3 linked regions of the Danio rerio genome follow. The protein of the gene in region 1 purifies or fractionates together with the protein of each later gene. This does not show direct contact. Links are inferred from orthologs where the notes say so. Each region holds a gene or a part of one and is shown on either strand. Other genes may lie near its edges. The genes, in order: usp4, rbbp8 and dcp1b.

Region 1 (4,120 bases):
ATGAATGAATGAATGAATGAATAAATGAATGAATGAGCTGAGCTACCTTTATGGTATATAAAAAACAGAATTGGTGCAAACTATTCTGGCTTCACGGTGCAGGCCCCTGATCCTCCCTGCAGTGGCTTGTTAAAAAATACCTACACAACAATATAATCATGATTTAACTAAAATGTTGATCATTTATATTAAAGAAAACAAAAATGTACATTTTTGGACCTTTGAATAAAACGCTATTTATCGAAACCAGTACAGTTTTGTAAACATGTTAATAAAACCATCATGCAACATATTTTTGGCATTTGTTGATTCAGTTATGTTTGATTCATGAATGAATCTTTTAGAGGGGGTTTGTGAATCAGTTCAGCTGACTCATGAAACAGATCCAGCTCCGAATGAAATATTTTGCAATTCACTATTCGATTAAATCTTCTAAGACTGAATTTAATAGGGAACATTAATCATTTTAGTAGCTAACTGACATAAATAATAAATACAAATAAATATATAAAAAGTGTATAAAGTGAGGTGTCATGATGTGGACACCAAACCACTGTTCATCATGAACATTTTGTTTTATTTTGTTTTTTCTATTCTGGAATGGTACAAATCTATGTAAAGGTTATGCTATGGCATTTACTATGTGAACACCACACACAAAACTCACAAACATAAGTCAAATGTATCCTGAAAGAAAGTCATACCTGTGCATATTTGCAGTCAGAAATAACAGTTTTATCAATTTTGAGATCTCAATCTCAAATTTGAAACATTTTAAGAATTGTTTTTACAATTATATATATATATATATATATATATATATATATATATATATATATATATATATATATATATATATATATATAATTTTTTTTTTTTTTTTACAAATTGTAAAAATAAAAACATTTTGGTGAGCGTTTTATATCATTAAGTTAAACTTAAGGTTAAACTTCACTAGCACTCAGTGTTTGTAAAAATGTCTTAGCAGAAAATACATTTCTGGTCATGTTCATATAAAGTAATTGGACAATAACAATTGAATATAGGCCTAAATTACAGTTTATAGGCAGAACATGTAACAATATTAAACTAAAACATAGTAAACTTATTTCAGTTAATAAAAAATGTTTATTAACCGCTGTACCAGAGGGCTCGGTTTGTTTCATTTATCAGCCGCTCCCAGATTGCATGTAGCGGCTAGTCGAGCTCGGCAGTAGCTCCAGTGTGCGCGCTCCCTTTAGCGCTGCGCGTCCCCGGTATACTTCAGCAGCGCGCTCGCGGTCACTGCGGGTTCACTCGCTGCACGATGGCGGAGGGAGGCGGACCCGAGTCGGGTAACGCTTCGGACCCTGACGAGAAGCCGGTGATCACACAGACACCAGTACCGTCCACCGAGAGTCAAAAGCAGAGCATCGGGACACTGCTAAAAACGCTACTTCGAAAGGGAGACGAGTGGTAAGAGTTTTTTTTAAATAAAGCCGTAGTCATGGCACGCTTGTCGGCATCAGCTCAGGCCTACCGACGGAGACACCGGCTGCCGGAAATCCCTTCACTTCTCCGGCTGTGGACAGCCACATGTTCTGCTAACACCCAGAAACTATATAGAGTACATTACTGTTCAGGCGATATGACACAACAGTTTGTGGTTTAATATTATTAGCATTTAACACAATTTATGTCGGTTAAAAAACGATGAAGTTGTCTTGTAGCTAGTTAGCACAGGTTAACCAACCTTAGCATTCCATTTCTCCCCAAACATCACAGTATTTCCACCGTAAATGTCTCTTTAATGCATAAGGTGTTTTAGGCACGTCAGTAACGTTAGCTGAAGAGTTGGTAACGTTAAATAAACTCAAGCACCCCGTTGTCGGTTATCAGTTTTCTGATAAGCTAATGTTGCATGGCAAAGTAGCGTCAGGCATGTAAGGCACTTCTTTAGCCGAGGCTAGTTAGCCAGCCTAGTTTGCGTTTCGTTGACGGGTTAAGTGTTATTTTCTGTCAGACGTCAAACTTATTTTAGGGTTACTGACAAACTAGATTAAAATAAAGGTCAGACTTCTCCTTTTAAAGTTGTAGAAAGGAGTGTAAGCTACATAAACAAGTATTGCAGGCAGTGCTTTGTCATGGCCACTGGATAACACCCAGTCACTCAAAATGTTGTTAGGCAGCAGAAGAGTTTATGGCACCGATAAGACATGCACATACATATATTTTGAAATTATGTAGATTGAAGGTCAAAACATGTAATACATTATCTGTTAAATATTTGTATTTGTTTTTTTGTTTGTTTGTTTCTGTGTGGCTTTCATTTAGGAAAGCAATCCGAGAAGTAGAGTCTTGACACCTTTAATAGACTTATTTTTTTAGTTCAGCTTTATGCTTGTGCAAATCACCATTTTGGATTTAAAGGAATAACGTTAGTTCATTCAAAATGACAGCTTCTGCTACATTCCATGCGTTTTGTTTTGCTAAAATGCATGTAAACATTCAAGTTGTCAATGTGCCGACAATGACAAAATTTTCACTTTTGGGTTTCCAGTCAGTTAATTTACATTTTTGACATTTTATCAAAGTGCAATGACTGTCTCTTGGCAGAGGGAATCAAGTGCTAACAAGATTATGTAGTGGAACAAGTTCCTACTTTAGATGAGATTAAGAAAGGCATCCTTATTGACTGTTCTAAATTGGTAGGTGTGTAATGTAACTAAATAGAAACTCGCTTTGCATACTGTTTTGCGCTCATAATTTAGGAGAAACACATTAATTGTCTGTTCCCTCTGACTCTTCACTGATCTCCAGCTATTGTTTCATTTGTTTAGGTATTTGATTGACAGCCGGTGGTTCAAACAGTGGAAGAAATATGTTGGCTTTGACAGCTGGGATTTGTACAATGTTGGAGAGCACAATCTCTACCCGGGACCCATTGACAACTCTGGCCTCTTTTCAGGTAGTGAATGTTTGAGTGTTGTTTTGCCACATTCTTACAGATGGATGTTATAAAGAAAAATGGGCATGTTTTGCCACCAGAATATACATATATATAAAAAGAAAGGTTTTTTGGTAATATTTATTTTTTAAGGTTTTTAAAAATTATTTCTCCATTAAATGCAAACTGTTTGAATCAAGTCTTTTCATTTATATATTTTTTGTAATGATTAGCTTATGAGTCCAATTGATCTAATCCTTTAGGTATATTGACACACTCACTGATTCAGTACAGACTATAATTAACAATATATAGCTTTAACAGCTCACTGGAGAGGAAGATCATCTCAGAATAACTACTTTATTAATTCAAATTTTAGTCCAAAACTATTGTGACCTGAAATCAGACCAGAATTAAGCCAACAAGCACCAAATGTGAGTATTGCATTATCAAGTATATTATTACATGCTTCACATACATAGATTTTTTTTGGGTGGGCTGCCCAGGTGTATCAACAGCCACCCAAGAAAGCCAAACATTTGCGATCGATTAACCAGTGGAAAATCTTCTCTCGCTCTGCATGTTTCCTACTGCTGGTTCTGTGTGCACGAGAACCGTCAACACTCACACAGACAATCCCAAGCCAGCAGACCCACAGAGATACTCCAAAATCTCTCTGACCATAGTTCTTGGATGTCTTAAAATGTTCAGGATTTGGGTTTTACTTTTGCTTTTTAAAGTTGTTGTTATTTGTATGTGTTTTTGCATTACCTTTTTAAGAAAAACATTAAATAATTAATTGATAAACTACTTAGATCAACTGTACTATAAACTCAGAGAGAACAAATTATCCTGGCTGCAAAATATTTGTACACCATTAGAAATGGCTAATCAGCTAATTTGCCTGATTTAAATAGTCTACACTTTTTATTCTAGTAATTATCATTTTTGCAGTAATGTCTATTTTTATTTCTTTTTCTGTTATTTATTTATCATTTGCTGTATATTTTATTGATTTAATGATGTTATTGTATTACATACTTTATATATATATATATATATATATATATATATATATATATATATATATATATATATATATATATATATATATATATATATATATATGAAATGCTTTGGCAATACTGTACTATACTCTCTGAAATAAAGGTACGAGAGCTGTCACTAGGGGGG
Region 2 (3,656 bases), on another chromosome or scaffold:
CTAGTAAATTATTATTTACTGTCATCATGGCAAAGATACAAGAAATCTGTTATTAGAAATAAGTTATTAAAACTATTCTGTTTAGAAATGTGTTGAAAAAAATCTTCTCTCTGTTAAACAAAAATTGGGGAAAAAATAAACAGTCGAGGTCAAAATTTATAAATAAAATCATAAATAATTCATAAGAAATGTGTATGTGTATGTAAGTCAGAATTATTAGCCCCCCTGAATTATTAGCGCCCCTGTTTATTTTTTTCCCCTATTTCTGTTTAATGGAGGGAAGATTGTTTCAGCACATTTCTAAGCATAATAGTTTTAAAAAACCTATTTCTAATAACTGATTTATTTTATTTTTGCCATGATGACAGTAAATATTATTTGACTAGATATTTTTTAAGACACTTTTATACAGCTTAAAGTGACATTTAAAGGCTTAACTAGGTTAATTAGGTTAACTAGGCAGGTTAGGGTAATTAGGCAAGTTATTGTATAACGATGGTTTGTTCTGTAGACTATCGAAAAAAAATAGCTTAAAGAGGCTAATAATTTTGTCCCAAAAATAGTTACATTCAAAAAAAAAAAAAAAAAAAAAAATATATATATATATATATATATATATATATATATATATATATATATATATATAATGTCTTTTGGAAATTGTGCATTTGGAATTTGTAATTTAGATGGAATTTTGTAAGAATTGAGTGTTAAAAAAATGGATATAAATAGTTTTTACTTTAAGTTGTCTGAAACTCATCTGTATCTACTAGGGTTGGATGATACATCGGTGGCCATATCAATATCAGCAAACCTGATTTTAATGTTATCTCGATTGGTCTAATAACAAAATTAGGTTTTTATTTGTGCTGTTTTTATGCTTTATTTTTGCTGGTTTTGCCTTGTTGTAAATGTTACTGTTCTGAAGTTAAAGTTTTAAAATAAAATCAGTTGTTCTCTGTAAGTGTTTGATTTTTGTTTTTGCAATCATGCATAACAATTATGGATATAGATATTATTTGTCTGCTATTTTTGTTAATAATATATTGGCTATCTGTTTCAAATCAAATTTACGTTATCAGTTATCAGGTCAAAAATTCCATACCAGTGCAGCTCTCGTCTCATCCAGCCTATCAGTATCAACCCAAAAATCTTCTTCAATGTGTGTGTTTAGAGGCTGAGAGGAAAACTCTGACAGATGAAAACAGGAGACTGAGTCTTGAACTGGAGCGACTCAGGAGGTCTGGGTGAGTCTCAGAGTTGAAGAAAACATGATGAAATACTGAGCACTGGTGACATTCATCATCATATGACCGTCTGTTTTGAGTGTGTGTTTAGTTCTCCACAGAACACGTCCTCTGAGGCTGAGGAGGGAATGATCCCAGACTCTCCTCTCCGGCCGCTGTCTTTACCCGTTGCCAGCAAGATGAAACGCCGGAAAGAGCAGAACCACGTCCGATACACTGAGACACCGCTATCACTCTCACACCCCGGTTAGTCACTCCAGAGAAGTTTAATCAGAATCAGTTTTATTGCCAAGTGTGCTTCACACACACAAGGAATAACACAAGAAGCTTCCAGTGTACATAAAGTGACAACACAAAATAAATATGAGGAAAAAAAGATGATAAACATTAAACGGAGATGCAGTTAGTCCAGAAATCTGGATGTTGAGTTGTATGTACAGATTTGTTATAAATATACAGGTTATAACATAAGGTGCTGTGTGCAAATGCGAATGTAGAAATTATTGCATTGTATATTGATATAAGGGGCTGTGTACAAGTGCGTATGAGAAAGTATTGCACATATTTATTGCACAGTTGGGTTATATTTAACTGTTCATGCAGTAGATGGCCTGAGGAAAGAAACTTTTCCTGTGTCTGGCTGTTTTTGTTCTTGGTGCTCTGAAGTGCCGACCAGACGGTAACTGTTCAAACAGGAAGTGTGCTGGGTGCGAGGCGTCCAGAGTGATTTTGCGAGCCCTTTTACTCACTCTGGAAGAGTACAGTTCTTGAAGGGTAGTGCCAGTGATTCGTTCAGCAGTCCGGACTATTCACTGTAGTCTACGGAGGTCGGTTTTGGCAGCTGAGCTGAACCAGACGGTGATTGAAGTGCAGAGGATGGATTGGATGACAGCTGAATAGAACTGCACAAGCAGCTCCTGTGCCAGGTTTAACTTCCTCAACTGACAAAGGAAGTACAGTCTATGCTGGGCTTTCTTCACGATAGAGTCTATGTGAATGTCCCACTTCAGATCCTGAGAGATGGTGTTGCCCAGGAACCCAAGGCCCTGTTCACACTAAGAAATTTTAGTTTTAAATCGCATAAGTTTTGCTACGCATTCCATCCACACTACCCTAGAGTTTTTGAGCGCCAAAGACTGAGCTTTTTGAAAACACTAAAGAGGCCGTTTTCATTCTATAACGCTGCTGCTCCAACTCGGTGTGGATGGGGAAAACGGAGACATCTGAAAACGGAGGCGTGGCTGTTGACATTCACCTATTTGATTGGGGTTTTTCTCAATATTGAGTAGCCTACACACACTTCAGTCCTGCATCCTCCCCTTGTAAGTTCAGACTTCACAAGTTTGATAAGGTAAATAAACTCCTCAGGACACGTCGGGTAAATTTTCAAAGGGAACAGTGTACTGTATACCCTCAATCACATCACCCTGGCTATGCTGTTTCACATCTCAACAATCGAATGAAAATATGATATTAGGAACTGTCAGTTTTTATTTTTAAAATTACCTTAACAGACACCAAAAATGTTGAGGCGTCGTGTAGCTACATATTTATATGACCGACATCTTCACTGTATGAATTTTTTAAACAAAAAGTCAGGGAGTATGTCGTTAGACAGCAAGATGAATTAAATATCACATTTAGCAAATATAGCTAGATTAGATCCAGCGGTAGATTCTTGATGAACCATCCGATGTGCACAGCTTTCACCTAAGGTGCTGTGCTCAAAATACCCGCTGACTGCCTGGAGCTCAGACGCTGCAGCGCATGCCAGTGTGTGTGTGTGTGTGTGGTCACGTCATGTGTGTTTTCAGTAGTATAGTGTGGACGGAGATCTGTTCAGAGACATTAGGTGAAACGCTGGACGTTTTCATTCTACATCGCCACTTTAAAAACTAAAACTTATTATTGTAAACGGGACCTAAAATGCCTAAATGACCTTAATATTATGTATTATGTAATATGTGTGATTAGGGATGGGAAATATGACAAAAATCTCAAGATATAAGTTGTCTCATATCCTGATAACAGTATATATCACATTATATTACCTTTTCTGTAAAATGTAATCAATTAACAGATGCATGGCCACATGTAAAGGACAATTACTTTTTAATGAATGTACTGAGAAACATGCTCATTCATATGTGATCATATTTGTCACTTTATTCGGATCTTTAGGGCAAATGTTTGACTAGAAATGTAGAAATAAAAAATGTATATAAACCAAATTGATAGAGATTTTAATGGCTCAAATTAACCGAAAAGAAATTGAATGAATGAATGAATATACATGTTTTGATTCCAAATTAGACATATGCTTTCATGGATAATTAAAATATAATAATACATAATATGGTCACACTTTACAATAAGGTTCATTAGTTAATGTTAATTAATGCATTTACT
Region 3 (4,385 bases), on another chromosome or scaffold:
ACCTCATGATAAATTTGTCTAAAGCTGCATGCGCCAGCCCAGGGAGAATGTAATTGATGGAGGAATATTAAAAAATTTCCATTGTAAGCCAAAAAAGGTTTTGTGTGCCTGCATGCAAGCAGTCCTTCTGAAAGAGTTTGTAGCATCGTCGTAAAGCTTTAACTTCAGAGAAGTGCATTTGTTTTCCTGATTAACTGATTACAAAAGATAACGAGCCTGAATGTCCTTTTGTTAAATTTAATTTGACAATAAATCAGCTAAATTCAGGTCCATTCATTTTAATTATATTTTTAATAAAATAAACACATTTACAATTCTAAGGCTGAATTTATGTCCATGCTTTTTCTTTATGCCATTAAACTTTTTTCTCGTCTTTCCCATTTGTCATTTCAAGTGTTAGCAGGTTTGGCATGCTGTCCCGAGAGAGAACCCTGAGCTCGGAGATAATTGAGCCCAGGGCTCCCTCCTGGTCAGTTAGCATGTAAGGAGGTACGAGATCAGGTAGTTCTTGAGAGCTTCTCTTGGTACAGGAGGAAAGGGGAAGATGGGGGGCATGGGGGGATTCTTCAAAAAATTAAAATGAGGGAGTAATGTTAGTCGGGCTATTTATAGTCAGTTTGATATAACGTGCTTCTCTCAAAATTAGTTTGTAAAACTTCACTTACTTTCTTAATTGGTCAATATATTATCTATAATGTCTATATTTTATTGTAACTGTATTTATAGGGCTAAATTAAATAAGTTTAGGTAACTGCATTTCTGAAATAATGTGCTTCATTAAAATATATATCGCTGACATGCTTTACCATAAACATTTGTGAAAAATGTAAAGGTAAATAAATATCATCTAGATAGAATACATTTACTTGACAATCTTATTTTTTTAACCCAATAATGCTGATTATCACCCAATAATTTAATGTCATAATCAACATTAGCCTGCTCAGGAGACATCATTGATATGTGATAATATTTTCTTATCACCCAGCCATCTCTCTCTCTCTCTCTCGCTCACATCACATATATTTTGACACACTGTATTATGTAAGGATTTCTTCATTTAAATCAACTATACATGCATACTTTGGGCTTAGCAATATTTTTGCAGTCTTTTGGTTTAGTCTAAAATATTTCACTCTGATGACTTTGAGCTCGTTCAACAAAAAGACAGACTTACAGCGAGCGTTCCTGTACAGGAGAAATGGATGCTGCAGCTGGAAATCCAAGTCCTTAGTGATTGGTTCAGTCAGGTTGTCCATACTCAAGCGATTGAGGATGGTAAAGCCATGCCTGGGGGAGGCAAGCCTGATACACAGAGAACTGACGTTAAAACTCGTAGCATGAGTGGGAAACTAAAGCTTATGAGTCTGAAGGACCTACAAAACTGCATGTGGGTGTTGTGCAGTGTAAGAGCAGACAACAGTGGTACATCTAAATGCTGAGAAATATTGTGCAGGTTATTTCTCTGACCCTTAGAGCCACATTAGATCTCTAGGGCTCTGATTTAGGGCCATACAGTACATGTGGGTGTTGCTTCACTGTTAAAAACATGTAAGAATCAAACAAACCTGCTATAGACAAACAGAGTTCCCTCCACATTTGTCTTTTCCTACAGAAAACCACAACAAAAACATACATTGATCTATTTATGTTTAAGTCGGAGAAAAATAATATTACAATTTAAAACAATAATATTATGTTTGTAGCAGTAGAAATAAATATCTCTATCCACTAAGATGTTATGTTAAGGGAGATGATCTTGTTGTTTACCCATTCATTGGTGTTGTTGTTAAAGGTGTAGAGTGCTACTTGGCTGGCTAGGTCTGTGATGCTGCTGATGTAGGGGTCGAGTCTCTTCAGAGCAGACAGACTCATTGATAAACAGCTCCCACCGCCACCTGTGCTTGCAGTCATGGCTCCAGCTCGCTTCTGTAAATAAAAACTTATGCTCTTTATTAAGATGTAATTACTCTTTATTAACATGTAATTACTGTACACCTCTATTGTATGGGTCTTTTGGTTCAGTTTGCATGTTTACCAAACAAATATAGTATTGTTTTATCTATCTATCTATCTATCTATCTATCCATCCATCCATCCATCATCTATATGTGGGTGTTGTTCAATAGTTTTGGGATAACTTTGATGAAAGGTTTTGATCCACTTCAAATGTTGTCTACTGTGTACAGAAATTAATGCGTCAGACCTTTGCAAGATTACAAAATGTAACTAAATTCGTTATTCTTAGTTATAAGCATTCATTTATATATTAATTTATACAATGAGTAAAAATGTGTGTGCATAAAAATACATTTCTTAAACTCGCATTCACTAAAATGTGGTTGACAAGCTAACCCTTACATGTAGTTACTATGGTATAACGAGTGGTTATATACTGGCCCGAGTCTAAAGAGTCCACCTCATCCTCGTCTGTATTTATTCTGGTCACTTTGACCGGTTAGGTCACCGTTGATGTTCATAGCACAAGCGCTGCGGGACATCGTACACAAGTTTAACACTGCGCTTGAGCGGTTTGTTAATATCCCTAACCCTGCATTAATAGTGTTTTTACTTTTTAAAAAATGGTATACATCATACATTCATAAGTTTACGAGTGAACTAAATAAGGCCTTGGTGAGCTGCGGTTGCTCTTTTATACATCGTACTGGAGTTAAACTTACCTCCACTTAAAATACGGCACAAATCCTAAAATACCTTTAAAAAGCAAAATTTAACTCTGTAAAAACAACACTTAAACAGCTTATTTAACGATCCGGTCTCCTTGTGTATGTTTTCAGGGATGTGCAAAGCAGTAAACAAGAATATAAGGCTTTATTTCACTTGTCTAACTCTCGTCCCGCTGCCGTCATCGCCATGTTTGCGCTGTCAAGAAGACAGAACGAGCTAATCGCCGAGCGCGCGCAAAGGGGAAAATAGTCGAGACAGAGTTACGGATGAGCCCCCAGCTGGCTCGAGCTCACCTGAGAACGCCAGCACGTTCGTTTACATCACGCTAAAGCAGTGAGCTGACGCTGCAGACTTTCTGCACCCAGGGGAACCCTTGAGGATACGAAATTCTTGCACTCCTGCACTATTGCTGCCTCGGTAAAGACGATGATTTGTAGTTTAGTTTTTGTTGCCTAATTGTTTGCGTATTCTTTCCAAAAACAAATGTTACAGTCCAGAGGCCCTGCTGCATTTGTAAAGTCCAACCGCTGTAATGTTACTGTGATTATTAAAATGGCACATTTCCCACCTGCAACTAGCCTACATAAATCTATAAATCTAAATGTACTGTTGTACCCCATTGAGCAGGGGCGGACTTGGGGCTCTAAGCAATTTCAGGTGTGGGGCCCTAGCGATGAAACTCAAAACACTCTCATTCTCTAAAGATTTTTTTTCAAAATATGTTTTAAACTCCTTTAATCTTCCTTAATCCTCTTAATGTAAAATTAAATACAATAAACTCACTCACACACAAGTTCACAAACTATACTGTATGTACAGTTTACTTGACATATTTATGATTAGTTTTTACATTTGCTGTACGGAGGAACGTTGCACTATTCATGGGGCCCCCGGTTTTAAAAAGAAGTAATGTTGTTAAAATCGTAATGGTTATAGACATTGTCATTTTTCAGGGCCCCATAATTCCCTGTAAGCGACTGCTTACTTCGCTAGTGAAGTCTGCCCCTTGAAATTGAAATAGGGGTTGCCAGTCTTTTAGATGTCATCATTATCGTCTTTAGTGGGACCTCTATCCTAAATGTAAAAGACACCTATACAGGTTTTCCCCATAAGGACCATTTTAAACCATGAAAGAAATATAAATGTATAACATATTGTTACACTGTCTCTCTATCTGTCTGTCTGTCTGTCTGTCTATATTTATTTATTTATAAATATGATTATAAATTTATTTTGTTTATTTAAAATGTTAGGCATTGTATTATTATTATTTTGTATTATCTACGTGTTGTGTTTGCTTTACTATGCATTTGTTTTTCTGTTTATATATATATATTTCCACACACGCACACAGGCTACATTTTTCTATGCTTTTTTTCTCTTTAGCATTTCCACAAAGCTCATTGCACTGCCCCATTGGCACCGGAGCCAAGATTGAAAATCCTTTCCTCTCAAGATAATTTACTCAACTGCACTTTATAAAGGTACCACTAGAGGTCATCATTACCTAAATACTCGTGTTTAATTAACTTGTTCAGCATCATTTCCAACCTATTTCTGAGAGAGCACAGCAGCCCATGCAGATTTTTTTTCTAATTCTGTTAAAGTGATCGTGATGTTATGTACACATCTATATGTTTTAGCTAATTAAACACTGCAGAAAAGTTTTAACCAACATTTAGCCTACATTAGATCTT

Evidence for each region.
Region 2: the proteins of usp4 (region 1) and rbbp8 purify together in Homo sapiens (affinity purification with western blotting; 3 studies listed by BioGRID, with this or other methods). This does not show direct contact. The link is inferred for Danio rerio from reciprocal best matches to the Homo sapiens genes USP4 and RBBP8.
Region 3: the proteins of usp4 (region 1) and dcp1b purify together in Homo sapiens (co-immunoprecipitation; 3 studies listed by BioGRID and IntAct, with this or other methods). This does not show direct contact. The link is inferred for Danio rerio from reciprocal best matches to the Homo sapiens genes USP4 and DCP1B.

Annotation. Positions count from the first base shown.
Region 1 is NC_133181.1:44,915,896-44,920,015, reverse strand, and holds the start of usp4 (ubiquitin carboxyl-terminal hydrolase 4), read left to right. Parts: upstream 1-1,294; 5' UTR 1,295-1,306; coding exon 1,307-1,455; intron 1,456-2,819; coding exon 2,820-2,947; intron 2,948-4,120.
Region 2 is NC_133199.1:39,949,161-39,952,816, forward strand, and holds part of rbbp8 (DNA endonuclease RBBP8), read left to right. Parts: intron 1-1,174; coding exon 1,175-1,247; intron 1,248-1,338; coding exon 1,339-1,493; intron 1,494-3,656. UniProt on the Homo sapiens protein: Endonuclease that cooperates with the MRE11-RAD50-NBN (MRN) complex in DNA-end resection, the first step of double-strand break (DSB) repair through the homologous recombination (HR) pathway.
Region 3 is NC_133179.1:20,906,848-20,911,232, forward strand, and holds the start of dcp1b (mRNA-decapping enzyme 1B), read right to left. Parts: upstream 2,889-4,385; 5' UTR 2,682-2,888; intron 1,943-2,681; 5' UTR 1,915-1,942; coding exon 1,771-1,914; intron 1,610-1,770; coding exon 1,569-1,609; intron 1,306-1,568; coding exon 1,178-1,305; intron 1-1,177. UniProt on the Homo sapiens protein: May play a role in the degradation of mRNAs, both in normal mRNA turnover and in nonsense-mediated mRNA decay. May remove the 7-methyl guanine cap structure from mRNA molecules, yielding a 5'-phosphorylated mRNA fragment and 7m-GDP.